4 linked regions of the Caenorhabditis elegans genome follow. The protein of the gene in region 4 purifies or fractionates together with the protein of the main gene of each other region. This does not show direct contact. Each region holds a gene or a part of one and is shown on either strand. Other genes may lie near its edges. The genes, in order: dct-16, Y47G6A.21, gst-27 and asp-14.

Region 1 (6,959 bases), on a different chromosome or scaffold from region 4:
TTTTGGCAATTTACCAAAAATTTGACTGGATATTTCAAATAATCTAAAAAATTAATCATTTTTGATTACTTTATTGTGTTGGATAATAAAATAAACACAGAACTGTTCCTTTCAAGCAATTGTTTTCCAACATCTAGTAGCTCATATCCATGAATATATATTTTGGAAAACACAATTTTCCTAGAACAAATTCAACAAGTATTAGCATCAAATTTTTTAATAGTATGTAGAGTTAGAGGCCAGTGACGATTATGTTAAAAACACTCAAATTTTTAGATTTTCAAATTTTCATAGTCAGTGAAAACTTACTACATAGTTAGGTGAGGTTAGGTGAAGTGATGTTACTGCTTACAGTTAACGTGTCAAAACTTTGAAAAGTTTCACACATGTTAACATGTTTTCATTCTCTACACCTGTTTAAATTTAACGTTGTGAGTTGATCAGGTGCACCGGTTTCCCGAAAAACTTCACCGCAACCCAATACATTTCAACGATGACTGACGCGTACCAAGGTGGAAAAGAATCTAAAAAATATACAATTTACTATATCATTGATGGTTCCATAAAGGTTAGTTGGAACCATTTTTTCACTTTGATAATTTGATTTTTAGGCTTGCCTCGCAATTCTTCTTCCCATCCTCACAGCTCTACTAGTTGGACAGCTGAGAAAAATGATCGCTCTGCGGAAAAAAACGTCTTCGTTGAGAAATGATAATGGAAGGCAGGTTTTTCAAAATTAGGCCTTGCTTTCTTTAAGAACAATTTTCAGTCAATCTTCGGATTAAATCACGAAGCTTGTAATTCTGATGGCAATTTCATTTATCACTGCTGAATTGCCAATTGGGATTCTTTATATCTCCACAGGGTTGCTCGCTAGTCATCCGGCAATTGTGTAAGAGAATATAATAATAGTCATTAAACGGGCGGAGTCTAATGGAATTTGCCTACAAGTTGGTCAAACTTCGCGCTAAATTTTTTGGCCAAAATCTTCTAATAAATAAAAGGCAAACATCAAAAATTGTTTGAAAATTTAAACAAGTCGAGATAATATTTTCGGCGTTTCAAAATTTCATCAAGCATTCAATTTTGTTTGAAATTTTTGGTTAAATTTCAGGCAAAAAGTTAAAGAAATTTCTAGTTTAATAATGAAATGTTGAGAATTTTTTGTAAATTTTCTAAATTGAAACAAAAATCCAAAAACTTTACACACAAATTTATAGGACGAGAATAAAGTTCAACAACTGAGATTAAAGTTCTAAAATTTCCAAACAAAATATATATTTTCAATTCAAAATAGAAATATGGAATTATTTTTAAAAAACTGCAGTTTTCTAATTTCAATTTTTAAACTTTTTTTTCTTAAAACTTCAGCAAAAATTAAATCAAGTTTCAAGTATTTTCTGTAAATTTCAATTTATCACTTCTTATTAGAATATTAGATTATCCTTTTGGTAATTTTTTTTAATATAATGGTATTGCTTCATCAAAATTTATTTTTCAGAACTACCATACGCTATTTGATGGATATTTTCACGTCATTTGTTGCCATTAACGCCACCGTTCATTTCTTAATTTGCCTCGGCGTAAACGCTCATTATCGAGACACTGTTAAAGAGCTATTCCGCTGGAAATTTGAAAAATTGAGGAAAACTTCAGATGACTCAACTATGAATTCTCAGAGTGTTGGCCAACCTAGAATTGTCGCTTGATCAATTTTTTTTCAAATTTTTCTACTTTCCAATTTTTATTTTGAACCCCGTGTCCTCTTATTATTTTTGAAATTTAATTCCGCATCCCATCAAGATTACCCTCCGACCAGAACCTCGTCAGACCCCCACCCACACCAGCGCACGTGATAATTAATCATAGTATACCTATACTTGTTGACTATATCCCCCTTAATTCCCATGAGAAGCATCTCATGTGTCTTAATTGAGGGGTACACAGCGAGTTGTAAAGAGGTTGTCCTTAACAACCAAATTTCTGAATCTTTTGCAAACTCATTGCTTTGAATTTCACAACTAAAATGAACCCCGATGCTCCGAGTGTCGAGGAGAAGCTCACCGTCGATGAGTGCTACGTTATTTCCAAGGTGAGCTGAGATTTATGCTAACAAAAAAGCTCGAGTGTTTTTCTTATTTTCAGGAAGATTGGTTTGAGCCAATTTTCTGTAAGCCGAAGCTTATCCCGTTGAAGACTGTGAAAATGCGAGAGATCGAGAAACGACGCAATGAAAACATGGAGAGGGTCAAGGCGATAGAGGTGAGTTTTTTTTTGAGAAACATATAATTTACTTATTTACATTCTTTTTTCAGACAGCTTCAACGTCAGAACAAAAGAACCCAGAGGTGGTACCCAAGGAGCCAAAACCAGAAAAGCCTCGGAACCCGGAAGAGCTCAAGAAACAGAATGAGTTGAACAAGATCGATTTGTGGATCGCCGACGAAGATCCGGCACGTCGCAAGTGACTATTGTCTACTTGTAAACAATAATCCTAACAATCCTATTTTTAACTCCAAACTTTTCGCGATTTCAATTTTCAAAAAACATTCCAGACAACCTCTAAACCTACATGATCATCCTAGTACTTCTTGGCCCAAGCGCTATGTCCAAAAAGTCAGGTCTACCCTATGTACTGCCGTGTAGTCAAACAAGCTTCACCATCATGCCATTCACCTTCTTCCCATCATTTCTCCTGCCCTCTTATCTCTAAAAATTGTGATTTCTGATTATTTCAATAAATAATAAATATGTTTTGCGTTGAAATTCTGGTCATTGAGATTTTTTAGGTGGTCTGTAATCATGGGCTCTTAAAACTTTGATACACCTGAGCTTAGGCCAAAGCTAATCCTTAAAAAAAAGCTAAGCCTAAACGCTAAACCGAAGCTATTGGGATTATTCATGTGATGCCAAAAAATGCACAAATGATTTTTATACAGTTTTACCCTATCCCTAAAAACGAAGGCATTTTTTTTAATTTTTCAACATTTTTCGACATTTATCTACATCGGCCGACAGCCCGCTTCACATGAAAAATGTAGAAAAATGTAGAAAAATGCAAAAAAAGCATGTGTTTTTTTTACATTTTTCTACACACATGAATAGATAGGGGAAAAATGTAAAAAATACATTTTTGCATTTATCGTCATCTCATGAATAACCCTATAAAGCCTAAGCCTGGGCCATAGTTTTTCTGGAAAATATCAGACATTAATCTCTATTTGCCACATGGATTCCAGCAAGTTTCCACGTTAAAATCTTCGCGAGCCGTCATATCACTAAAATTCCTTATCTACATAGTGTTCTTGACACATCATTAAATTAGTTGCTCGCGGAGCAACAACTGCAAAAACGGTCTTCGTTCGGAACACGTAAGCATGCAAACACGCGCTGGAAGAGCAAAGTGCATGCGGTCACAAACATTTTTTCTCGGTATAAAATGCCAAGCGGGGTGCCACATTTCGGCATAGGCATCAATTTTCACTGCTGCTGCTGCTGAATCAACACTAAAAATGGCCGAGAAACGTGAGTTTTTGGATGTATGCTTATTTTTTCAAGAATTCATGTTTTTTGTTCAATTTGAAAAAAATTTAACAATAAGACCGAAAATGGCGAAAAATTGAAATTTTCAATTTTTGTTGATTTTTCGGCAGAAAAAAGTATGTAATTCTTTAGCAAGTTATTGTTTTGATTTTTTACATGTAATTGTACAATAACCTCATATTCCAGATATTATAGGATACAACACCAAAAAATGATTTAATTTTTTACATTTTTAGATGTCAGGCTGTCCCATTTTGGTGAGATCTACAAAAAAAGCGGGAATTTAGACGCAGACTTCTCAACTGATTTTACATGGTTAAGAACATGCTGACACGTCACATATTTTTGGAAAAAAATTCCCGCATTTTCTGTAGATCAAACAGTAATGGGCAGTCTGACACCACACGCTTCCAATAAAAAAAGTTTATTAAAAATATCGGAAACTACCCGAACATACAACCAACTTGAAAAGTACAGCACACACGTGGTGTCAGGCTGTCCCATTACGGTTTGATCTACAAAAAATGCGGGATTTTTTAACCCAAACAAATGTGACGTCAGCACGTTCTTAACCATGCAAAATCAGTTAAGAAGTCTGCATCTCAATTCCCGCCATTTTCGAAGATCTAAGTAGATCAAACCACGCAAATTACCTAATAAAAATCCAAAAATTGAAAATTTTCGGATTTTTTGTAGGTCTCCTAATACCCTACTAATATGTAAAAAAAATTTCAGTCGCAAAAGCCAAGGAGGAGATGACAGCCGCCGGTCTCTCGCCAGAATCCATCGAGGGAATTCTCAAAATCGCCGCCACTTACAAGAAGAAGGACGATGAGCCAGAACGTGATGCTGCCACTTCTTTGGCAATTATCACAAAAATGATCGGAGAGACCAATGAGTATATTAAGGGACAATCGGAAGCCGATCAGAAGATCTACGCTGTCATTATTGAGAAGAAGAAGGCCGAGCTTATCGAGGCCGCCAAGAAGCAATAGATTTTCTTTTTGTTTTGAAATTTTATTCTATTATGAGCTTGTAATAAAATAATTTTTGTAATTTTAAACTTGTAATGGTCACATACTTTTGGGAAAAAAATTCCCGCATTTTCTGTAGATCAAACAGTAATGACACCACGTATTTCTAATGAAAAAGTTCCTTTAAAATTTCGGAAACTGCCCGAACCTACTTGACCTACTTGAAAAGTAATGTACATACATGGTGGCTGTCCCATTACGGTTTGATCTACAAAAAATGCGGGATTTTTTTGCCCAAAAAGTGCACGCTTTTATCCATGCGAAGTCAATTGAGAAATCTGCATCTCAATTCCCGCATTTTTCGAAGATCGAAGTAGATCGAACCACGCAAATTTAATTCAATTATGAGCTTGTAATAAATAATTTTTTTGTAATTTTGAACTTGTAATGGTCTTTCCAAGTGATTTTTCATGGAAAATATATTCTTGTAAATTTTTTAAAAATCTCTATTTTTTCTTATAAAATCAGCTTTTTTTTCGATAAATTTTTGTGACAAAAATTGATTTTTTAAGATTAATTTTTCGATTAAAACCCTGAAAATTTTAAATTTTTTTTCGAATTTTTTCGATTCGATTTTTTCCCAGACAGTTTTTCGAATTTAAACAAAAAATTCATAAATTTCTATTTTTTTCTACATAAAAAACACAATTTGGCACATAGAAAAAAGGCGGAAAAATCACATAAAATATGCTTAAAAATTGGAAAAATCCTGAAAATACGGGGCTTCAAATCACATAAAATATGCTTTAAAAATTTCAGAAAAAACCGAAAATTATGAGTTTTGTTTCTTCAAAAACTGATAGACGACACCGAAATCCTTTGCCTGGTACTGTGGATCACGAGCCAGAATACGGTAGATTTGATGAGCCAGTGAGCCCATTGGAGTTGGTGCTTGAGTATTTGTTGAAGCATTTTGAGCCAATGAAAGGTCTTTTGCCATTAGAGTCGTTCCGAAGCCGCCAGCATAACCCTGAAATTGGAAATTTTAGGTTGATCGGCGGAATTTAGGAGACTTTCATTGAAATTTTTGAATGAAATTTCTGGCAAATCGGCGAATTGGCACATTGCCGGAATTGAAAATTTCCGGCACACCGGCAAACCGGCAATTTGCCGAAAATGAAAATTTCCGGCAAATCGGCGAAACGGCAAGTTGCCGGAATTAAAAATTTCCGGCAAATCGGCAAACCGGCAAGTTGCCGAAATTGAAAATTTCCGGCAAATCGGCAAATTGAAGGAATTGAACGTTTCCGGCAACTCGACAAACCGGCAAGATGCCGATTTGCAAAAATGTTCCAGATATTCGATTTTTTTTTTGAAAATTTCAACTTTTTTGAATTATTTTTAAATCAAAATTCCTATTAAAATCATCAAAAAATTGGAAAGTTATAAATTTAAGCTAAAAATTCAAAAAATGGCGAAATTTAATTTTTTAAATGAATTTTTTGAGGACAGAATCAAATTTTGAGATTTTTTTTTTGCATTTTTACGGATTTTCAGTCAATTTTCCATCCATACCCTGCACGAAGGGATGTTTTCAATGACTCCGGGTACTGGATTGTACGTGTCCGACGACCAACACCTTCCTGACGATGTATTCACGATTCCGGCAAGCGCTTTCGCGTCGAGACCCATTCTGTAAAAAAAATTTTGTTGAATTTTTTAGAAAAATATATTTAATTTCAATTTTTTGCGCTGGTCGTTTTACTTTGCTGATGTGGGAAAAAAAATGTTTTTCAAAATTATTTTTGACGAAACTGTTTTTTTAGAATTTTGGTGGGCGGCATTGTTTCGTCAACAAATTGGGCAAATTGGCAAATTGCCGGTTTGCCGGAAATTTTCAATTCCGGCCATTTGCGGGTTTGCCGGAAATTTTTAGAGGGAATTTTTTTCTGAAATTTTCAAAAAATAAACTGATCAAAACTAAAATTTGCCGAAAATTTTGCAAATTCGGCAATTTGCCGGTTTGCCGATTTACCGGAAAATTCAATTCCGGCAATTTGGCGATTTGCCGATTTGCCGGAAAATTCAATTCCGACAATTAGCCGATTTGCCGGAAATTTTCAATTCCGGCAATTTTCCGATATGCCGGAAATATTCAATTCCGGCAATTTGGCGATTTGCCGGAAAATTCAATTCCGGCAATGTGCCGATTTGCCGGAAATTGTTAATTCTGGCAATTTGCCGATTTGCCGGAAATTTTCAATTCCGGCAATTTGGCGATTTGCCCATTTGCCGGAAAAAAAAGTAATGAAAAATATTAATTTTAATCAGAAAACTTGAAAAATTGCCTGGAAACGTTTTTTTTTTCAATTTTTGAAATGGTTTGAACTTTCGGCAAAAAATTGAATTTTCAGCAATTTTTGCTTCAATTTTTTTTGCATT
Region 2 (8,155 bases), on a different chromosome or scaffold from region 4:
CGATTTTGTGATGGTTTTCGAGATAGTAGCCAATATAGGTTTCCAGACTGACACGGACAACTGAAAAGGATCCGCCCCCAAACGTTGGGTCTCGTCAGGTATTGGCGAGACAACCGGGAATTTTTATGGTTTTTTGCCGATTTTACTAGTTTTATGTGTCGAAATTAAGGAAAATCAAATTAAATAACGGTTTTCCCTTTTAAATGCAATTTTAAAAACATAATTTCGATATAAAAATCTTGAAAAAACACGAAAAAATGCTTGAGAACAGGTGAAATCGGCAAAAAAGCGGTAATACCTAACGAGACCCAACGTTTGGGGGCGGAGCTTTTCCATTTGACCGTGGAGCGCGCTTGCACCTCGATTTCAAAAATCGCATTTTTCTGCATCAAAATTTTACGATTTTTTTCTCCATATCTCGACACGACAAATATTTGTTAAATACGAAAAGGTGTGCTCCTTTAAAGAGCACTGTAATTTCTCGTTTTGGAATTTTCATTGACACAGTACTCTTTGAAGGCGCACATCTTTTTACATTTAACATACATTTATCGCGACGAGACCAGGCACCGTAGCTTTGGCACAAAAATAGCAATTTTTTCAAATATCAACTACAGTAACCCACAGTTTGACATGGATTTTGAAATAAAAAAGTTTGCGCGTCAAATGTGATGCATTGAGTCATGTACCTAATGCACCACAGTTTACGCGCAAAAAAATTTGGAAAAGTTGAACTCCTGATGTGTGATGTGTTATCAGGAGCGGAGAAAACAAAATTTGTATTTTTCTCTGGGTCTCGTTTTTTTAGGATGCCGTTTATTATTTGTTTCAAAGATTTTTTTTTCAATTTTCAATTTTCAATTTTAATTTTAATTTTGATTTTGCAGGTCAACCATGCCCGTCGCAATTGTCACAGGTAATAATGACTCTAAATACTTGAAATTCCATTCCTCTCCCCTCTTTTCCAGGTGCAAGTTCTGGTATTGGACGTGCGGCGGCTCTTCTTCTCGCCCGGAACAACTACAAGCTCTCACTTACCGGACGGAATGTGGCGGCTCTCAATGAGCTCGCCGGGCAAATTGTCAGTGCTGGAAGTGATAAGAATGATGTACTGGTGACCGCTGTTGAGTTGGCTTCAGAAGAAGCTCCGAAGACTATTGTGGATGCGACTGTGCAAAAGTTTGGACGAATTGACACATTGGTGGGGGGTTATTTTTGGAAAGTTATAATAAAATTTAGAACTATTACGGGAACATAAAAATAAATAAAATTCTGAGAATTCGTACTGCACAACATATTTGACGCGCAAAATATCTCGCAGCGAAAACTACAGTAATTCTTTTAATGACTACTGTAGCTCTTGTGTCGATTTACGGGCTTGATTCTCATAATCAAGATAATAAAGCCCGTAAATCGACACAATCGCTACAGTAGTCATTTAAAGAATTACGGTAGTCTTCGCTACGAGATATTATGCGCGTCAAATGTGTTGCATTACGCATTTTCAGGATTTTGTGTTCCCGTTATAAAAAATTTTAGTTCAAAATTCTTTTTGAAAACGTAATAATTGCGAATTTTGTAAAAAAATGCACAGAAAATTATCCAAATGTGAAGTTTTGCGACTACTATTGCGTTACAAATACGGTATCTGGTCTCACCACGACTAATTTTTGCAACTTGTAAAAAGGTGCGCGCCTTTAAAGAGTACTGTATTTTCTTTTGTTTCTGCGGAATTTTCATCGAATTTTATACTTTTCGATAAAAAACTGTTTGAAAAATTAAAATTTATATATAAAAATCGAAGGAAAATTTGAAAAAATTCTGTAGTATATGCGAGTACTGTAGCTCAGTTTTGCACCCAAATTTAATTATTTTTTTTAAAATTAAAATTATTTTTGTCGCATTTCACATTAAGATTCAGAGATCTTAGAATTTTTATTTTTTAAAATTTTTTGAGAAAAAAGTTTGCGCGCTTTTTTAGATACTTTTTTTTTCGAATTTTCCAAATTTCTGCCTAAAGAGTTTTCTCATTTTTATTTTCGAGAAAAATTGCACCAACCTGTAAAAAGAAAATATGGGGATAACGAAAACATTTAAAAAAACTCTCCAACCGATTCTTGAATTATTAAACCCTTAAAATATTCTAAATTTCAGATCAATTCGGCCGGGATTCTGCGTGCCGGACCAGTTCTCGATTCTGGAATTGAAGTCTACGATGAGCTAATGAATGTGAATGTTCGTAGTTTGATCCGCCTGACACGTGCAGCTCTTCCACATATTATTACAACAAAAGGAACTGTTGTCAATGTCAGCAGTATTAATGGACCGTGCCCTGTATGATGTTATTTTTTTGTTGAAAATAATTTTCAAATTCGCAATTTTCAGTTCCCAAATGTAACCTATTACTGTATGTCCAAGTCGGCCGTAGATCAATTCACAAAATGTTTGGCTCTCGAAATGGCTCCGAATGGAGTTCGTGTTAATGCTGTTTGGTGAGTTTTCTCGCGATTTTTGCCAAAAAACTACGGTGCCAGGTCTCGAAGCGATCGATTCTCTTTAAGGAGTACTGTAATTACGATTTTTTCGGTTTTTAGGTTTTTTAAAGAAATATTCGAAAAATAAGAAAACATATACATTTCTTCCAAAAAGAAGAAAAATTGTCAAAATTTCAAGATATTTTGCGAAAAATCGGAAAAATATTTATTTTTGAAATCGAAAATATTTTTGGCTTTTTTTTTTTCGAAAAATCGAAAAATTATCGGAAAATATGAGTAAGAACGAAATCACAAAAAAAAACTAGGAAAATTTCCTGAAAATTCTAACTTTTTGCCGAATTTTCATAGGTTTTCTTGTTTTTGTTCAAATTTTGATGCATTTTTATATTTTTTGAATAAAAACGAATTTTTTAAAAGACAGGAGCTAAACTATGGAAAATTGCTTTAAAAATCTCGCAAAAACTAGGAGTAAGTAACTACAGTACACTACAGTACTCCTTTAAAGGCGCACGCACTTTTGAATTGAAAAAAAAAAGATCGCTTCGAGACCGGTTACCGTATTTTGGTGCAAAAATCGCTAACTTTCTCATTTTTTGTCGAATGAAACGCTAACAACACACGTATTACGGGAACACAAAATTTTGGGAATTCGTCTTACGCAACATATTTGACGCGCAAAATATCAAAACTACAGTAATCCTTTAACTGACTACTGTACTGCTTGTGTCGATTTACGGGCTCGATTTTGGAAATTAATTTATTTTCTTCGTTTCTTCGTATTATTTTCTCATTTTCAATAATCTTTTGATAAATAAAAAAACCCGTAAATCGGCACAAGTGCAACAGTAGTCATTTAAAGAATTACTGTAGTTTTGATATTTTGCGCGTCACATATGATGCGCAATACGCATTCTCAAAATATTGTGTTCCCTTAATAAACCCATATAAATTTGTCATTTCTCCAAAAATTTCAGCCCAGGGGTCACCGTGACCAACCTGCATCGTACATCTGGTCAAGACGAGACAACATATTCTGCGGTATAAAACCTGCTGCACTGACCTTGACAAATAAATATCATCATTTCTTTCAGTTCTTGGAACGTAGTAAAACGACACACGCACTCGGCCGTCCCGGTGATGCCAATGAAGTTGCTGAGGCAATCTATTTCCTCGCCTCTGAGAAAAGTTCATTCACTACTGGAGAACTTCTTCGTGTTGACGGAGGCCGCGGAATCATGCATCCGAGATAAATATTAGCTTTTTTGTCTCATATTGAGATTGTTTTGAACTTTTATCATGTAATAAATAGAGAGATACATGTATTTTTTTTAATTGTGTTTTTATTGAATCCTTTATAGTGGTTTTTTCCTTGCTTAATTTTTTTTTTTTTTGAAAAAAAATCGATTTTTTTTTGATTCAGTTTTGAATTTATTCAGAGTATCCGAAAATGCCAGTCGCCATCATCACCGGAGCAAGTTCGGGAATCGGAAAAGGCACGGCTCTTCTGTTCGCGAAAAAAAAGTACCAACTCTCGCTGACCGGAAGAAATACGGATTCTTTGAAGGAAGTCGCAGCACTATGTATTTCAGAGGGTGCAATTTCGGCTGATGATGTGAGTTTTATATTTTAGGAACTGTGACGGAAAGTACAGTATTACGGGAACACAGAATTCTGAGATTGCGTATTGCGCAACATATTTGACGCGCAAAATATCTCGTAGCGAAAACTACAGTAATCCTTCAAATTACTACTGTAACTCTGGTGTCGTAAATCAACACAAGCGCTACAGTAGTCATTTAAAGAATTACTGTAGTTTTGATATTTTGCGCGTCAATTATGTTGTGCATTACGCATTCTCAGAATTTTGTGTTCTCATGATAGCAGTTATCACAAAAAAATTTCGATTTTTTTTCCTCGTTTGTAATTTTTGGAAACACCGTTTTTTTGTCGAAAAAACAAAAAAAATTATTTTTTTAATTAAAAAAAACCGCCGCCATGGTCTTGACACATACAAAAAAAAATATTAAAACTCATCGAATATCAAGAAGTATACTAAAAATCATTAAAAATTACAAACACTTGCAGGTACTGTAGCTATGAATTTTATTATGTCGTTTCGAGACCAAAAATCGCAAAATTTTGCAAAAAAAGGGGATTGAACGTTTTTAGGTGGAAAAAATAGCGACATCAATTAAAAAATCGATTTTCATTCCAGATTCTGATAACTGCAGTGGAGCTGAGCTCTGATGAGGCGCCCAAAGCAATTGTGGATGCAACTGTACAAAAATTCGGAAGAATTGACTCATTGGTGAGGATATTCAGTTCGAAACAATTTGAAACTATCGAGAGAAAAGTTTTTCGGAAATTTAGAGTTTATCCATTTATTATTTACAAAATTTTCAGAAACGCGTACATAGAGGATCACGGATTTATTCGGTTGGGTCTTGCCACGAAAAATGTTTTTGCGCGGTGAGACCCAACTAGATAATTGCGTGCGCCTTTAAGTTCGTATCCCAGGAACAATTGCGGAACTACAATAGGTTTTTTTTCAATTTTATGAAGTCAATACTATTCAAAATTTAAACTTGAAAAATAAAAAACTTCACTTTTCCAGGATCCATAGTTTTTTTTTCGAGAAATTTCCCATTCTACCCTTAAAATATTCTAAATTTCAGATCAATTCGGCCGGGATTCTGCGTGCCGGACCAGTTCTCGATTCTGGAATTGAAGTCTACGATGAGCTAATGAATGTGAATGTTCGTAGTTTGATCCGCCTGACACGTGCAGCTCTTCCACATATTATTACAACAAAAGGAACTGTTGTCAATGTCAGCAGTATTAATGGACCGTGCCCTGTATGATTTTTCTTTTGGAAATTAAAAAAAAATATATTTCGAATTCGCAATTTTCAGTTCGCTGGGGTCACATATTACTGTATGTCCAAATCGGCCGTAGATCAATTCACAAAATGTTTGGCTCTGGAAATGGCTCCGAATGGAGTTCGTGTTAATGCTGTTTGGTGAGATTTAAATATTTTCATATTAAGAGCCCAAAAATTGAGAATAATTAAAATAAATTTCAGCCCAGGAGTCATTGTAACCAACATTCATCGAGCATCTGGGCAGGATGAAGCTACATATGCGGCAGTAAGTCTATTCTAACGACACGCAAGAAGTAATGGGCGGAGTCGGAAGCGCAACTCCGCCGCACGATTCTATTTTAATTAAAATTTTAACTGTTTTTTTAAAATATTCACAGCAAGATCAAATAATTAAAGTAATTCTAAAGCAAGATTTCGATTATTCAACCTGACAAATTAAGATAAATTGATTGTTTGATTTTTAAAAATGCGGAAAAATAGACGAAAAACAGTGCGGCGGAGTTGCATTTTCAACTCCGCCCATTATTCCTTGCGCGCCCTTTTCTGTGGGTCAAATTCTACACAGCGACATTACGGGAACACGAAATGCTGAGAATGCGTACTGCACATCATATTTGACGCGCAAATTATCTCGTAGCGAAAACTACAGTAGTTCTTTGAATGACTACTGTACTCGGTAGTTTGGCTCCCTTGGCGCGCGACGAGGGTGCGACTGGCGCGCGGACGGGGCGCGACTAGACTACTGTCTCGCGATCTAGTCGCACAATTTTCGCGCGCCGAGCGCATTTCTTTCGCACACACTACGCGCCCGGTTCGATTTTTTTCTCGCTCCCGCCGATTTTCATATTAAAATTGAAATCTTAGATTAATAAGAATTGCGTTTATTACAACAACGAACAATGGAAAAATAAAATTAAAAAATTAACGGATTGAAGACAGCTTGGCTGCAGGTCAATTGAATCCTAGACGGCGAGAGACTGGTGTTGCAAACCAGCTAGAGCTACTATGGCAGCGCCGAATGTGATTTTGGAGAGAAGATTCGAGTCGTTGAGGTAGAAAACACGACGGAGATGTGGATAAACTGCCATCATGGCGAGCTGCTCGAAGATCGGTGAAGAGGATTGACCAATCTGAAATATTAAGACGGTGAAACCGCAGTTGAAGCTTATAAGCTTATAAGCTAGCCTACATTGCCCGTCGAGAACTTGATTGGTTTCGGGAGCTCAAATTGTCTACAGAATTCCTCCGGCGGCACTTCCCAACGCTGGTCAACTTCTTCCCGTTCAACTTTTGTGGCAATCATGACACACGGCGTTTTTGTTCTGTAAATATTGAAATTATTGGGAATTGGATCTTGAAAACCCACCTATAGAAATATTTCTGATAAACTGTGGCGCAGAACGCGAATGAATTCGAGACATCATAGAGGAAAGCGACGACGGCCGCCGACGTCTCGCCGGACCCCAGCGCATCTTGTGGTGAGAGAACATCAACTTCACGCAGAAGCAGGTACTTGCTCTCCTCTTTCACTCGGACACGATTGATAACGAATGGAGAATGACGACGTCCTATTTGTGCTACATCAGCCATTCCACGTCCTGCTAGGGATTGCATGAAGACTGTTTTTCCAGCGTCCTTGGCTCCGACTACCAGGCATTGGAAGACTTTTCGGTCGGTTCCATGGTTTTCTAGATCCTTCTTCCGTTCACGAGTCACTCTGATCGAGTCGAGTGTATTCCCAGCACGACCTGAAATTACAAAAACTGAATAAAATGAATTTTTAATGAAGATCTTTTTTTTCAAAATTTCCACCTGCCTGGAATTATATTTTTATTGAATTGTCATTTTTTCGTGCAAATTCGTGCAGTTTTAGGTCCGCTTCTCCTCCTTTATATAAAATTTAGTGAAAATCTCCAATTTCGCGGACTTTTACGTGCCGAAGTGATCGGAAATCAGTCAAAATTGGACGGACAATAACGGAAAAACGAGGGATAAGCAATCAAAAGCTGAAATAAAATGTATTTTATTTTTTATATTTTAACCGACATCTTTGGTAATAACTGGAACCGGGCATACTGAGAAGAGATTCTGAAGTTCACTCGGAGAAAGACATCCATCGTTGTCTCGATCGCAAATTTTGAAGACTCGAATCAGTGCTTTTCTGGCGCGATCTGTCAGTTGTTTGGTGTCTGCATCGTATAATGGCCTTGTTGGGTAGATCACAGCTTTCTGGGCGTAGTAGAAGATTTCTGAGACGTTTTTCATCGTGCGAGCCGAGCATTCAACGCAAGTTTCGACTTCGGTGTTTGCCTCCATTATGGGGAGAATCTTATCAGTATTATTTGCAGTCCCATCTGATTTGTTGCCTACCAAAATGACCGGAGTCTTATGGTACTCTCCGAAGGACTGGCGAATCAAGGGTAGCCACCTGAAAATTCAAAGTTATTGATTTTTTAACAGATAATTTCAATGAAAACGTACTTTGTTTGAATTCCATCAACAGTGGACTCGTCTGTAACCGAGTAGACGACACAAATGACATTCGCCTGGCGGATTTCCAACACAATCCAATTTTCATCTGAAAATTGATTGAATTATTTGATTTACATGTTTTTGGCAATTTATTTACCTTCTTCCTTAATCGATAAGTCCACGATACTCGTACAATTCCGAAAAGCTTGATTTTAGAGATACTTTTGTTATTGATGGAACAATCGGTGAAAATTTCACGGTCACCATATTTAACTTGAAGAAAAGCCCTGAAACTATACACTTTAGG
Region 3 (6,744 bases), on a different chromosome or scaffold from region 4:
TGATCTTATTTTTAAACTATTGTACCATCACGTGGTGTCAGAGAGTCCCATTTCGGTTTGAAATACGTAGATCTACAAAAAATGCGGGAGTTGAGACGCAGAGATTTCAACTGATTTTCAACACATTTCTCTTGGCGAAATATCCCCGCATTTTTTTTGTAGATCAAACCGTAATGGGACAGCCCCACACGATGTTTACATACTTCACACTACATCCACCATACCAAACAACCGTACCCCATTTTCAAACCAACTTCATATTTTTCTAGGAGCAACTCTGGAGATCACATAACTACGCCGAGACTCGTGACCGTCTTCTAAGCACCTTCCGCGGAGTCGCCTGGCCAGTAATGCAGTCCGGGCTCTCCACGATTCTTGGCATGTTCCCATTGATGTTTGTACGTGCGTATGTTGTAGCAGTATTCTGGAAGACTGTGATCCTGGTCGGTATACTTGGAATGCTTCATGCTCTCATTCTGTTGCCAGTAATATTCATTTTAACGCATGACATTAAGCTCTTATTCCGACGGAAACGTGCAGTTGCTCCTACTCCGCATTCGATGGAATTGGCTTCATAGAGCGTTTTGTTGTAGTTTGTATGTTTTTTTGAAAACCCAGGGTATTTTCTTTTCCATTGATTGTATTATCATCTAATACGGGTTGTTCACATCTCCATTGATTGTTTGATAACATGTTTGAAATAAAATTTTCGTACTCAATAGTAAAACAGTACACAGCTCTATGTTTTAGGTTACATATGAGTATGAAATAAATGAAAAGAGTGGTTCGAAGCACTTGAGAATTATCTTCGGTACTCAAGCAGCACTGTTACTGTAGCGAACAGAACTATGAAATTTTTAGAAAATTAAATTACACTAGTGAATTTATATTCCCACAATAATTTGAATTTTTACAAGGAGATATTAAAACTATTTATTGTATTCAATTATCAAACAATTTACAACAAACTTTAGTACTGAGTATCTGGGCGAATCTCGACCCACTTCTTGATAGCTGGAATCGCATAGACCTTCTCCCGAAGAGCAACCAACTTTGGCTCTCCCGCTGGAGTGAATAACTGATTTTTGTCCAAAGTTGTGATGCACTCCACAACTACAATATCGGCAAAAGTGAGCCCATCTCCAACCAAGAATCCTGACTTGCTCTTCTCCAGGATCCCATTGATGATTACGAAGAATGCATCTCTAGCCGGAACGACATCTGATTGCATGATCTTTGCAATCTCCTCAGCTGGCTTTCCAGCGGCATGTGCTTTTCCGACTTCTCTGAAGGATCCCATGAAATCCTTGAATTGGTCAACGATGGCATCTGCCCAAGCTTGCTCTTCCGGGGTTTTTCCAGCATATCCAAATTTATTGGCAAGATAGCGGATGATTGCAGCAGATTGTGGAATTTCAAATCCATCGACGGATAGGACCGGGACTTGTCCGAGTGGAGTTTCTGAAATACTTACTTTGAGTTTAGTGTTTGCCACATATAAATGACCTACTTTCTTTCAGCTTTTCCCATGTTCCATCTCCATGGGTCATACGGAAATCCTCAAATGGAACATCGGCAAGATGGAAGAGAATACGAGCAGCTTCTCCGTAGCCACGAGCGTTGAAATAGGTGAGTTTGTAGGAAGGCATAGTGATCTGTCTGTTTTAAATATAGGTATGTGTGATAGTGTGATTCCGATATCAAACAATTTTTCGAAATAGCATTGGAAAAATGCAGTCTTTCCGCATAGTCTTATCAAATATTTGACAGAAAAAGTCAAACCATGATTAATTTTTACAAAGTATTTCAGAGAAAAATAACAATTTAAGGTCAATTGTACAATTTTAAAAAATGTATCCTGGACCATAAAATTTTTTTAACTGTAAAATTGAACAGAACTGAGTTTAGCTTCAATCTAGATAGAAAAATAAAGTTAAAAATAGAATTAACACGTTCAGAATTAACGTATTTGAAAATAAAATGAGATTACATGAACATAACATAACGATTTATTGAATTAATATATCAGCACATTTAAAACAAACCTAGTTCAGGGTATCTGGACGAATCTCAACCCATTTCTTTATTGCTGGAATCGCATATACCTTCTCTCGAAGCGCGACCAATTTTGGTTGCTCCGATGCAGTGAAGAGCTGATGTTTGTCCAAAGTTGTGATGCATTCCACAATCACAATATCTGCGATGGTTAGACCATCTCCAACTAAAAATCCGGACTTGCTCTTCTCAAGGATCTTGTTGATTATCACAAAGAATGCATCTCTTGCCGGAACGAGATCTGACTGGATGATCTTCCCGACCTCCTCGGCAGACTTTCCAGCAGCGCTTGCTTTTCCCACTTCTTTGATTGATACCATAAAATCCTTGTATTGATCGACGATAGCATCAGTCCAGGCTTGCTCCTCCGGGGTTTTTCCAGCATATCCGAATTGCTTGGCAAGGTAGCGGTTGATTGCAGCGGATTGTGGAATTTCAAATCCATCAACTGATAAGACTGGGGCTTGTCCAAATGGAGTTTCTAAATAGAAACAAAAAATAATGTTCAATTTCTGTCTTGGCTACTTTATTTCAGTTTTTTTTAAATTTTAATATGGCGTTTCAAGGTCGCTATTACTTACTGGCTTTGAGATTTTCCCATGTTCCATCTCCAATGGTCATTCGGAAATCTTCAAATGGAACATCGGCAAGATGGAACAGAATACGAGCTGGTTCTCCATATCCACGCACGTTAAAATAGGTCAGCTTGTAGGATGGCATTTTAGTTAAATGAAAACCACAACCAGACAGTTTTCTTGTGTGATTCTGCAAGCAAAATGATTGGGAAAAATTCCTCCGCAAAGTGTTATCAAACTGTCGTGGAGATCAATAAACCAAAAACCAAGAAATGGATGGGGGGGGGGGGGGGGAGGTGGGAGAAGAGTCAATAAAAATTCGGACGGAGAGTCAATAAAATCCAAAATTCTACTTTAAGTTAAAATAAAAAATGTCGAACGAGGTAAAGTGCCCGCAATCCAATGAACGATAATCGAAGGAGTGGACATCATTCCGTTTTCTATTCGCCTCTTCCATGCACTTGCAATAAACAGAACTTGCAAGTGTTTGGTAGAGAGGCGGTGAGAGGGCACGAACCTGTGGCAGTCGGAACGAGAGACCAACTCGTTATCCAGCAGGCCACGCGTGCACTTGGCAGAAACGGTGTTGTTGAGAATGATGTTGAGTGCGGGTTTTAGAGGAAGAAGGCAGCTGCGATTGAGAGGAAAATTGCAAATAAGAATGCAAATAGTGGTGCATTTTAAAAATTTATTCGAATTTGTAATTATATTACTTCATTGAACAAAATTTCAAGAAAATTTTCGATTTAGTACTGAGTATCTGGACGAGCCTCTACCCACTTCCTGATAGCTGGAATTGCATAGACCTTCTCTCGAAGAGCAGCCAAGTTTGGTTGCTCCGAAGCAACAAACAATTGATTTTTCTCCAAAGTAGTAATATTCTCAGAGATGACAATGTCCGCGAAGGTGATACTGTCGCCGACTAGGAATCCTGACTTGCTCTTTTCAAGAAGCCCATTGAGAATCTTAAAGTACGAATCTCTAGCTGGAATCACTACTTCAGAAGTGATCTTTGCAATTTCTTCCTGAGATTTTCCAGCGAAATGTGCCATGATACGTTCGCGGAATGATCCCATGAAATCCTTGAACTGATCAACGATGGCATCTGCCCAAACCTGCTCTTCTGGGGTTTTTCCAGCATATCCGAATTTGTTGGCAAGGTAGCGGATTATTGCAGCAGATTGTGGGATATCAAATCCATCAACGGTCAGGTAAGGTACTTGACCAAATGGGGCGCCTGAAAAAATATATATATGTGAGTAAGTATTTGGAGCATTCTAAAAATTTCAAAATTTTCAGAAATTTTCCAAAAAGCTCCAGAAGTTGTAAAAGTTTCTAGAAAAAAATTTTTAGATTAAAATTCGAATCCCATCCAAAACTTCATCGTGAAAAATAATGTTTTTTTTATTGTGAATTTCCCGCTAAAAAAGTTTCGAAACAATTACATATACATAGCCCTAAAACTATTTTATAAAAAAAATTGATTTTTCCGGCGAAATTTTTTAAATAATTTTTTGTTTTAATTTGGAATGCCTTTTTTACGAAAAATGATGCCTACAATTTTTTGAAAAAAATTTAACCCATCCAAGACCGTGTGCTCAGAAAATTTGGCTTTCCCATTATTGTCAGAACTTTTTTTAAAATTTGAATGCCATCCATAACTTCTTATCAAAATATCGCGCTATAATAAGATAGGCAGGCAATCGGTAGGCCCCAAATCTCCACTAACCGTCTTTAAGCTTCTCCCATGTTCCATCTCCGTGTGTCATACGGAAGTCCTCGAATGGAACATCTGCCAAGTGGAAGAGGATACGTGCGGCCTCAGCGTATCCACGAGCATTGAAATAGGTGAGCTTGTAGGTAGGCATTTTTGACAACTTTTCTGTAATGAAGTAGTATTTATACGCAAAAAAGGAAAACTGGAACGCCGAAAATAATTGGACAACAAAATAATCGCATCAATTATTTTTCTGTACAACTTTGCCAACCCTTTTTATACTATATGTTTACCGTCTATGTCTCTGCCTTCACGTGTGCTGGCAGTTGATGCTTGGTTGTGTTTGAACAATTTGAAACGATTGATCTTTTGCCGTTTCCTGCCACTTTGGTTTTTGGTTGTGGTTTTTGGTTTTGTTGAAACTAGGACTTCAAAAGCCTGAGCCTGAGCCTGAGCCCAATTTGACGGTTTGCCGATTTGCCAGAAGTTTTCAATTCCGGCAATTTGTAGATTTGCCGGGTTTTCGGAAAATTTAATTCCGCAATTTTCCGGTTTCCGATTTGCCGGAGGTTTTTAATTCCGACAATTTGCAGATTTGCCGATTTGCCGAAAATTTCAATTCCGGCAATTTTCTGGTTTGCCGATTTGCCAGAAGTTTTCAATTCCGGCAATTTGTAGATTTGCCGGTTTCTCGGAAAATTTATTTCCGCAATTTTCCGGTTTCCGATTTGCCGGAGGTTTTTAATTCCGACAATTTGCAGATTTGCCGATTTGCCGAAAATTTCAATTCCGGCAATTTTCTGGTTTGCCGATTTGCCAGAAGTTTTCAATTCCGGCAATTTGTAGATTTGCCGGGTTTTCGGAAAATTTAATTCCGCAATTTTCCGGTTTCCGATTTGCCGGAGGTTTTTAATTCCGACAATTTGCAGATTTGCCGATTTGCCGAAAATTTCAATTCCGGCAATTTTCTGGTTTGCCGATTTGCCAGAAGTTTTCAATTCCGGCAATTTGTAGATTTGCCGGTTTCTCGGAAAATTTAATTCCGCAATTTTCCGGTTTCCGATTTGCCGGAGGTTTTTAATTCCGGCAATTTGCAGATTTGCCGATTTGCCGAAAATTTCAAGTCCGGCAATTTGCCAGTTTGCTGATTTGCTGGAAGTTTTCAATTCCGGCTATTTGCCTATTTGCCAGAAAAAATCGTTTTCCGCCCACCCCTGATTTGTGGTCTCGCCCGTTATTTGTCCGCGGTCCCCGCCAAAATAAAATTGTTCTAATTGTAAGTATAAAAATAGTTGCATGAATATTTCTGAATTTATTTCAATTTATTCACAAAAGAAATCCAGAAACTAAATTAATAAATAGTATCTGGTCGAATATCCACCCAGCTTTTGATTGCCGGAATTGCGTAGATCTTCTCCCTGAGAGCTGCCAATTTCGGGTGCTCCGATGCATCGAAAAAATGAACTTTCTCCAGGTTGGTAAGACTTTCCACCACGACAATATCAGCAAATGTGAGCCCATCTCCAACGAGAAATCCTGACTTGCTCTTTTCAAGGAGGTTTGTGATGATTTCAAAATACGAATCTCTAGCAGGAATTGCAACTTCTGAGGCAACTTTGGCAATTTCCACATCCGATTTTCCAGCCTTTTGTGCAAGTTTAAACTCTCTAAATAGGCTCATGAAATCTTTGAATTGGTCCACAATAGCATCTGCCCAAGCCTGCTCCTCTGGAGTTTTTCCAGCGTATCCAAATTTATTGGCAAGGTAGCGAATAATTGCAGCAGATTGTGGAATTTCAAATCCATCCACATATAGAACTGGAACTTGGCCAAATGGAGTTTCTGGAAAAAATAAAATAGTTGGAAAATTTCAGATAAATATTTGTGATTGAAAATTTCTTGGGCCCGTTTTTTGACAAATACTTCAAATAGACTGTAAATTTTCAATAAGAAATTTTTGAACAAAAATTTAGGAAGAATTTCGTTTGATCTGAACAGTATACATTATTATTATTATTGAATACGTTTATTTAAACGTGAAAATAAGAGAAAAAAAAAGAGGAAAAATTATAAATTATAAATTATATTGAATATTGTGGAATAATACAGAAAAAGTGGGAACGGGTTGAGGCTTTGTTACATAACCTTATCATTTAATAATGTGTCCAAAAAATAGGGATAAAGTCTGTGTCTGATGAACAAAAGTTAAGAATAACTGCTACATAACACTTTTAATGGCAAACGTCAACTTTCAGCACGATTAGAATTTTTTTCAAATTTTCGACTAAAATAAATAGGATTTTCAAATTGAGCAAATCTTTTCCTACATTTATATAATAATTTTAACTTAAAAAAACCGATTATCATACAACAATAGGAAGTTTTGTAATTTGAACG
Region 4 (8,047 bases):
TCTTTTCAGAATATTAGCGAAGATGCAAGTGAATCAAAGAGGAACATTCAGAAAATTGCCGAAGAAACACTAGGCCATGAGGTGAACGTTATTTGTGGTACAGGAGAATTCAGTTACATAGCTCATACCGATACATTCTGCCAAGCATTTAAGGAAGATGTCACCTGTTATGCATTCAAACCATTGCAATAAACTTATTTGGTGTTTTTTTTTTGTCTGTATTTCCTGCTTTTTCTGTCCACTACTGGCTTCAATAAATTAATTTTTTGAAAGTTTTTAATTCAATTTGATTTCGTAAAAGCAAAATCCAACAAGATATAAAAAGTTTGAAACTAACACTTATACTCAACGACAGTAGAGAAAGTGTTAATTCAATAGTTCATCGCTGTTGGTGTTTGTATTTTCAAAATGTTTAACCTTAAAAAATGTTTCTTGTGTATTACAACCCTTTATTATAGAAATAAATTATTTTTATATTTTTTTGACCATTTCACTCGCCGTACCTGTTTATCAATTACCGATAATATTTAACAATACAACTCACCTTTAAGTTACAACTTTTGACCTGCTCAGCAGGCTGTGGTGATCTGAAATCTACAGGTTAAAAACCTACATCCGATTGTGAAACGTTTTCTCTACTCGAAATGGTGGTAAGAGTTTTCTAAGATACAAATTGCTAGAGACCGTTTTTCTTCTGATATAAAAAGCGTTTTAGTAGCAATTTATCTTCATGGAATTGAGATTTCTATATTATAAACATAAGCAACTCTAAAAAACACTAGTTCTCCACTCTTTAAAATCGTCATACTCCTACTTGCTTTTTATTCATGAAACAGTATCATTGCCAATGCAAACAAACAACTATAGAATAATGCCATCCAAACATTCAAGAAAAAATCATCACGTGACTGTTTCGCAATTCAATTTGCATCCAATGTAGTTTTCTCTCTCTTGTCAAAACTTATCTGATATACTCTATTGTTTTATCCAATTGACGTCACTATCATCATCTTATCTTTTCAATTAGATTTGTGAGACCTTATATAGCGGTTTCAGTGGTGCACATCTGTCATTGTCACTGTCTGTGTGCAGTCATTTTTTTTGGTTATCGTTTTGTTTTTATTGGTGGTCGTTTAGTCGTGTATCGACCTTGGCCTATGCGTGTACGACTCCTTTTTGTATTTGTCACTAGCACCCTCTCCAACCTGTATGCTATTTTCTGTTTCAACGCCGCATGCGTGTACAGTTTCGGAGACATAACAGACTGCTGTCTACTCAACTCCATTTTTCAAAACTTGTATTGCTTTGCAGGCTAAATCATGAAATCCTTCGTTTCTGTTCCTCAAAACTCGGATTTCCCAATTCAAAACTTACCGTATGGTGTTTTCTCAACAAAGGCTGACGTAAGTGTATAAATAATTATTTCTAAAGCAAAATTAAACTAAATATTTTCAGTCTTCCCGCCACATTGGAGTTGCAATTGGAGATCAAATCCTCAACTTGGCAGAAATTGCCAATCTTTTTGACGGACCTCAATTGAAGGCACATCAGGATGTTTTCAAGCAGAGCACATTGAACGCGTTCATGGCACTGCCACGTCCAGCCTGGTTGGAAGCTCGTGCAAGAATCCAACAACTGCTCTCAGAGGATTGTGCTGTTCTTAGGGATAACGCTCATTTGAGGTGAATAAGTTGGCAAAACAAATTTGAAAAAGTTAAAAAGTAGTACAAAGTGTGTCTGATAATCTACTAACCAAATCTAAACAACTATTTCACAAGTTTTAATTTTTATCGTTAGTTTATAATTGCAAAGTTGAATCAATACTGTGCAGCAAGTTGGCAAGTTGAAATGTATATAGAAGTATGTGAAAATGTTCGGTCAATCTGAAAAAAATTATTTTATTGAGAACGCCTGGAAACCCGTCAAAGTTTTTGAAATACTTCATTTGACTTTAAATATATCGTTAAACTTTGTTGGCGACTTGTAGGCATTATTTTTAAAAAAATCTATTTCAAAATCGAGAAAAACCTACATTTTTATATTAATTTTTGATTTATAAATTGAAATCTCATACTGTAATTAGAAGCTTTGTACGTTTTGCGCACAACTTACATATAACTCTGTTTAAAACAACCAAGAAACTTTGTAATAATATTCTTATGTTTTTATTTACAGAAGCCGGGCTCTTGTCGCTCAATCCGATGCTACAATGCACCTTCCAGCTCAAATCGGAGATTACACCGATTTCTACTCCTCCATCCATCACGCCACCAACGTCGGAATCATGTTCCGTGGAAAGGAAAATGCTCTGATGCCAAACTGGAAGTGGCTTCCGGTCGGATACCACGGAAGAGCTTCATCAATCGTTGTATCTGGAACAGACTTGAAAAGACCAGTTGGACAAACTAAGGCCCCAGATGGTAAGATTTAGATTTGCACCAATAATGCAAATGTGTCCGCTTTCAGCTGAGGTTCCATCGTTTGGTCCATCAAAGCTTATGGACTTTGAGCTCGAGATGGCGTTCTTTGTGGGAGGTCCAGAAAATGAATTGGGAACTCGTGTTCCAATCGAGAAGGCTGAGGATCGTATCTTTGGAGTTGTGCTCATGAACGACTGGAGTGGTGAGTAACGATGTTAATTAAATATCAAACAAAAACATTTAAACTCGACATTTTGGTGACAAGAAAATTCAACAGTAGTTATTTTCAAGTTTGCTCCATACTCATCCGAAAAAAAACTTTTCCAGCTCGCGATATCCAAGCTTGGGAATACGTTCCACTCGGCCCATTCCTTGCTAAATCCTTTGCCACAACTGTTTCTCCATGGGTCGTCTCAATTGAAGCTCTTCGTCCATACTTTGTTGAGAATCCAGTACAAGATCCAGTTCCACCAGCATATCTCCATCACGATGACCCATTTACCCTTGACATCAATTTGGCCGTCAGTATCCGTCCAGAAGGAGATGCTGTGGACCATATTGTCTGTAAAACTAACTTCAAGGTATGTTCAAGTTTAGTAGAAACGATATTATCTACACTGTTCACTGTAAATTGGATCATAAACGCTCGTTAAGGTTTTCTCAACTACAATACTGTAATTTCTAGCATTTGTATTGGACTCTAAAACAACAACTTGCTCACCACACCGTCAATGGATGCAACCTCCGCGCTGGAGATCTTTTGGGATCAGGAACTGTATCTGGACCAGAAGAAGGTGCATATGGATCCATGCTCGAGCTTTCGTGGCGCGGAGCCAAAGAAGTTCCAGTTGGCTCAGAAATCCGAAAGTTCTTAAAGGACGGAGATGAGGTCAACCTTTCTGGAGTTTGTGAAAAGAATGGAGTCAGAATTGGTTTCGGAGAGTGCCGCGGAAAAGTCCTGCCAGCCGATATCTAAAATCATCGTAATTAAATCGTTTTGCTTTTTGTTTCATTCTCTCGTTTGTTAGTAGTATCTCGTCGAATAAAGTTCTGAAGCCCACGAAAAGTGATGAAAGTGGAAGTGTGCAGTGTCGAAAATGATAGGGGTTTGTCACGATTTTTTGGTTTCTATGTTATCAGTTCAAAGCATGAGCGAATAAATAGGAGAGCTGGTTGCTTGGAAATCATTCTCAGTTCAATCATGATCAAGACAATCTTGCTTTTGGCCTTTGTGGCCTCGACCTCAGCTTTTGTGATTCCTTTCAAAGTTCATGCTGCAGTTACCAACATTACCAAAGGTGAGTATGAGAATTTACAGATTTGTTTCAGATAAAGTGAAATTTGGTGTTTGTAAATGGAAGCCTTTACAAAATTTAAAATGAACATTTAAGCATTATTTTTGATTTTTTTTTTGAATTATTTTCCGAAGCGTATAAAAATTTCGATCACGTTTGATTGAACATGAACATTTAATGGTACATTAACGTTATATTTTATTCAAAATAGGGATAGACACGTAACTGGGAGTAATAATAGTGGAGAGCGGTAAGTTGTTTTAAGAGCACGTATATATATATCCCGAAGCCACATAAAATGTACAGTGAATGAACAAACATTATTTCCTTTACGACATTGAGTAGAATGTATTTAACTTAGAATAAAGCTTATAACTTACAAACACAATGTTGCGGTTGATTTCCAATTATATATTGGTTGTTTTGAGAATTATGAACTGAAACTTGTGTGGTATGATTTTTCCATCATTTCCAACTATTTGAAAACATTTTATATCAACTTTTAGAAAAAAACTTTTTTTTTTTGATTTTTTTGGAATTTTTAAAAAGGGGTATTTTGGCACTTTCAAAATGTCGTAACTTGATCAAACCTGCTCTGAAGCAGCTAAATTTTTGGAGTGATCATCTGTAACTATTCTCTATCGAATGTATATAGTGGCGTAACGAAGTCCGATAACGAGTTCAGAGCCTTCCCTTGTTAGGAATAATGGTTTTCTAAATCTATTACATTCCACTAGTGAATTGTTTTGTACTGAAAATTACTTTTGGTATATAATACACAAGTTCCTTAGATTTTCAAAACTGAAGTTTAATTCCAGGAGGACAAACTCTGGAGCAAACCTCAACCTTCTTCGTTGCTAACTTGACCATGGGAACACCAGGACAACTTTTCACTGTTGTCATTGACACTTCGACCGCTGACATTGTTATTCCAGATATGAGTTGCAGTGAGTTTCAACCAATCGCTTTCTTGATTGCAATTTGATAGTTTTACGACTTTTAAATGTATAAAACATCTCGAACATAATCACGAAATGATGACAGTTTTTGTCAGCTTTTGCTGACAATTTGCCCTATTATATCGGCACTAAAATCGTTTTTTATGTTGATTATCGGTCAAAGACTATCACTTAGTGCACATAACATTCCTAATTTTGAAAACTCCACACTACTGATAAGAGTGAAAAAGATACAAACTGGAAAATGTTTCAGAGACCGCAAATAATTGCTACAACAAGAGAAGATTCAACCAAGCAAAGTCGTCGTCTTACTATGCATATGGAAATAAGTACACGTACAAGAATAATCTTGGAACTTTCCAAGGATTTGATGCAAAAGACACTGTTGTGGTAATACTTTCAATTTGTTTTTTAAGTCCTAACAATTTTTTTCCAGATCGGAGACCGCAAAACTGATTTGATCACCATTCCAGGCGTGAAGTTTATGCAAGCTACCGACCTCGGACTTTTGATGGATGGATTGGGTGCTGATGGAATTTTGGGATTGGGATTCACAGCCTCATCGCAAATCGGTGGAAACTCACCATTCGTTCAAGGTGTTAACGCTGGAGACATTTCGGGCACATTCTACTCCATCTGGCTCGAGCACTTCAACCAAACTGATGATCTCGGAACCCACGGAGTTATTTACTACGGAGGATTTGATCCAGTGCACTGTGCTCCAAACCCAACATACGTCCCATTGGCTTCTGCATATGCATACCAACTCACGATGTCTTCCTTCAAAGTTGTAGGATCATCCGCCACCAACTCCAACAACAAGTACATTCAAGTGAGTTTATTGCATCTCTTATGTATCAACAAATATAAATTTCAGACTTACCTTGACACCACCACCGCCCAAATTGGACTTCCAAAAACTTACATTAGCCAGGTGTTTGACTCCCTTGGCATCAGCACAAACGTTATGAATGCTATCTACCCAACAATTGTTCCATGTAACACTAAGATCACCCTCACTTTTGGATTTGTTTCTGGTATGTCGATTTCAGTGTACCTTCCACTTGTTTTACATAATTGCTCTATTTTCAGGTACAACAGTCTCAATTACGGAAAGAGATCTTGTTATTAGCTTCTTCGGAACATGTAGACTCCAAATTATTCCAACCACTGATAGGTAAGGAATGATTGAGAAGATGGATTGAATCATGCAAAAATTTTTCAGAATCATTCTCGGTCTTCCATTGTATCGTGGACGTTGCACATATTTCGATCCAATCATGCAAAGAGTCGGGTTCACTCCAGCGCTTCTCCAAGATTAGTGTTAATATTTGAAAGTGGAATAAAAATAAATCATTAAATTTAAAAAGTGCCGTTATGCGGTTCATATTCAGATTCATTTGAGAAATTTCTGAAAACATTGTAAGACTATTGGGATAGTTGGGAATGGGTTTAAGAACATATTTGATAGTATTTCTGATCTACACATAGTAATGTTCTACAAAGTTCTAGAGTGTTTCAAAAACTTTCCCAAACTTTCAGAACGTTTTATATTCTCAAATATACAAAGATTTCGAAGAAAGTATCTTAAACTTTCCAAAACTGATCATTTTCTGAATGTTGAAACGAACTAACTTGCCTACTATGTAGTTAGAAGCAGATTCTACATAGGGCGGTTGGAAGAAGTTAAACATAGTAGGCTAGTTAAAGCATTCGCTGTTGCATGTGCAACCGGTCGGTCCAAATAACGTCAAACAAACAAAAGGGACTAAAAAATTTTTCTATTTAAAAATTATCAGTAGAAATGTTAGTAAAAACATATCATTATTCTGTTCTAAAGCTTATTGGATAATGACTGACGAAGTTTGACTCATTGTATCGAATGATCATTTTTTAATGTAAACATTCACATCTAACAATTACTGTATGGTTGTCATAAAATACAAAATGACATTTTCCATTTAATAAAAAAGATCATCAAACATCACCCGACATATTCAAAACGATTTATTTGTTACATTGTCTGTTTTGTATTGTGACTCAAACTGTCTCATAAATACTGCTTGAAACACATAACTATATAAGAACCTGTCTTGCAACAATTCATTAAAATCTTCACCATGCTAATTATACTTGTTGCGGTTTTTTTAGCTCAAGCTAATGCCAGAGTGGTTGACATAGCAACCGACATTGTGAACATGGCTGCTATAAAAGACCAACTAAATTACGAATGTAAAGACGTAAAGGAGCAAACTCAATTCCAAAATTGCGGCAGCTCATTTTCAGTAAGTTTCCCAGAAAATAAGTTGGTGACAGTAAAATATTTCAGAAAAGTTTGGCGATTATCCAAAACTATCAAAACAACTCAACAAGACAACCAACTCTTCATGAAGAGCTGCTTTCACTTAATAATGTAGTGAGATGGATGTCATTATGTACAAAAAAACAATGAAAATGTGTGTAGTGCACAAATAAAAATTCATGAAATTACCTCTAAAATCACTGAAATCGTTCATAGCTTTTCCACAGAAATGAGTCCGAGTGACTGTTGGAAAGAGGTACTTTTAAAATGGTTTTTTTGGTGTATGTAAAATGATTGTTCAGGACGAGCTATATCACCAATACGTTTCTTGCTCAAACAATTATGGATTAACAAATAGAAATACTCTAAAAGAGTTGGACGTTCTCCGTCAAAATCAAGACGCAATTGTCACCTGCTTAGATCAACACATGGAATCTTCTCAAGGATGCAACAAAAAAAATCGGCACGAAGTCGCAACAATCGTGAACAAAATTGTAAATTTGTATAATATGCTCAATCCTGATCACAATTGCAACTAATTCTCTTCGTTGTTGACACTATATGAGATGTTAAATAATGAATAATCGAGCATTTCAACACATATTGAATATACACCGAATAATGATAAATTTCACGGAACAAATACGATTTGCAAAATATACTTTTTAACTGCTTCTCTAAAATTTGAATATGCACTTTGTCATCGTCGACATTTCGGAATGTGTGAAAATAGAGCCAATGCAGCAAAAGGAAACAATTTGAAAACACTTGCTTTAAAACAATTAGTTTATTGTTGCAATATTTTAAAAAAGTGTCCAAAACATGCTAGTACTTTATTTCAGCTTTACGTGTTAAAACTTTACAAATACCGTGATGTTTTAACTGATATGAAACATTGCTCGCCAAATATGATGTTTTCCACTTAAACAAAACAAATTGCGCGTCAGATATGATGTTTTTAAATGAAATAAAAATTTTGCGTCAAATATGATGTTTTCATCTGATATAAAATATTGAGTGTCAGATACAATGTTTTCAACTGAAATTAACAAATTTTTAGTGATTTCAAAA

Evidence for each region.
Region 1: the proteins of asp-14 (region 4) and dct-16 fractionate together in Caenorhabditis elegans (co-fractionation; one large-scale study listed by BioGRID). This does not show direct contact.
Region 2: the proteins of asp-14 (region 4) and Y47G6A.21 fractionate together in Caenorhabditis elegans (co-fractionation; one large-scale study listed by BioGRID). This does not show direct contact.
Region 3: the proteins of asp-14 (region 4) and gst-27 fractionate together in Caenorhabditis elegans (co-fractionation; one large-scale study listed by BioGRID). This does not show direct contact.

Annotation. Positions count from the first base shown.
Region 1 is NC_003283.11:20,495,562-20,502,520, reverse strand, and holds dct-16 (DAF-16/FOXO Controlled, germline Tumor affecting), read left to right. Parts: upstream 1-3,463; 5' UTR 3,464-3,512; coding exon 3,513-3,525; intron 3,526-4,278; coding exon 4,279-4,538; 3' UTR 4,539-4,597; downstream 4,598-6,959. Other genes in the region: dct-14 (DAF-16/FOXO Controlled, germline Tumor affecting), read left to right, coding at 2,027-2,092, 2,146-2,262, 2,316-2,468; B0250.5 (putative 3-hydroxyisobutyrate dehydrogenase, mitochondrial), read right to left, coding at 5,350-5,547, 6,093-6,210.
Region 2 is NC_003279.8:3,555,584-3,563,738, reverse strand, and holds the start of Y47G6A.21 (DeHydrogenases, Short chain), read left to right. Parts: upstream 1-3,931; 5' UTR 3,932-3,942; coding exon 3,943-4,107; intron 4,108-4,710; coding exon 4,711-4,803; intron 4,804-5,170; coding exon 5,171-5,350; intron 5,351-5,407; coding exon 5,408-5,514; intron 5,515-5,577; coding exon 5,578-5,641; intron 5,642-6,336; coding exon of another isoform or gene 6,337-6,506; intron 6,507-6,565; coding exon of another isoform or gene 6,566-6,698; intron 6,699-6,742; coding exon of another isoform or gene 6,743-7,124; intron 7,125-7,192; coding exon of another isoform or gene 7,193-7,382; intron 7,383-7,452; coding exon of another isoform or gene 7,453-7,804; intron 7,805-7,857; coding exon of another isoform or gene 7,858-7,954; intron 7,955-8,005; coding exon of another isoform or gene 8,006-8,155. Other genes in the region: Y47G6A.22 (DeHydrogenases, Short chain), read left to right, coding at 895-916, 969-1,201, 2,155-2,334, 2,386-2,492, 3,470-3,533, 3,587-3,745.
Region 3 is NC_003280.10:15,162,895-15,169,638, forward strand, and holds gst-27 (glutathione transferase), read right to left. Parts: upstream 2,815-6,744; 5' UTR 2,776-2,814; coding exon 2,637-2,775; intron 2,537-2,636; coding exon 2,046-2,536; 3' UTR 1,996-2,045; downstream 1-1,995. Other genes in the region: ptr-20 (SSD domain-containing protein), read left to right, coding at 270-578; gst-26 (glutathione transferase), read right to left, coding at 971-1,461, 1,511-1,649; gst-28 (glutathione transferase), read right to left, coding at 3,377-3,867, 4,360-4,498; gst-29 (glutathione transferase), read right to left, coding at 5,699-6,189.
Region 4 is NC_003284.9:6,442,181-6,450,227, reverse strand, and holds asp-14 (Peptidase A1 domain-containing protein), read left to right. Parts: upstream 1-3,563; 5' UTR 3,564-3,621; coding exon 3,622-3,718; intron 3,719-4,533; coding exon 4,534-4,662; intron 4,663-4,927; coding exon 4,928-5,064; intron 5,065-5,110; coding exon 5,111-5,506; intron 5,507-5,551; coding exon 5,552-5,711; intron 5,712-5,766; coding exon 5,767-5,851; intron 5,852-5,899; coding exon 5,900-5,996; 3' UTR 5,997-6,043; downstream 6,044-8,047. Other genes in the region: grl-6 (Ground-like domain-containing protein), read left to right, coding at 10-192; fah-1 (Fumarylacetoacetase), read left to right, coding at 1,320-1,403, 1,456-1,682, 2,176-2,420, 2,467-2,622, 2,748-3,001, 3,106-3,396; K10C2.7 (uncharacterized protein), read left to right, coding at 6,795-6,959, 7,004-7,126.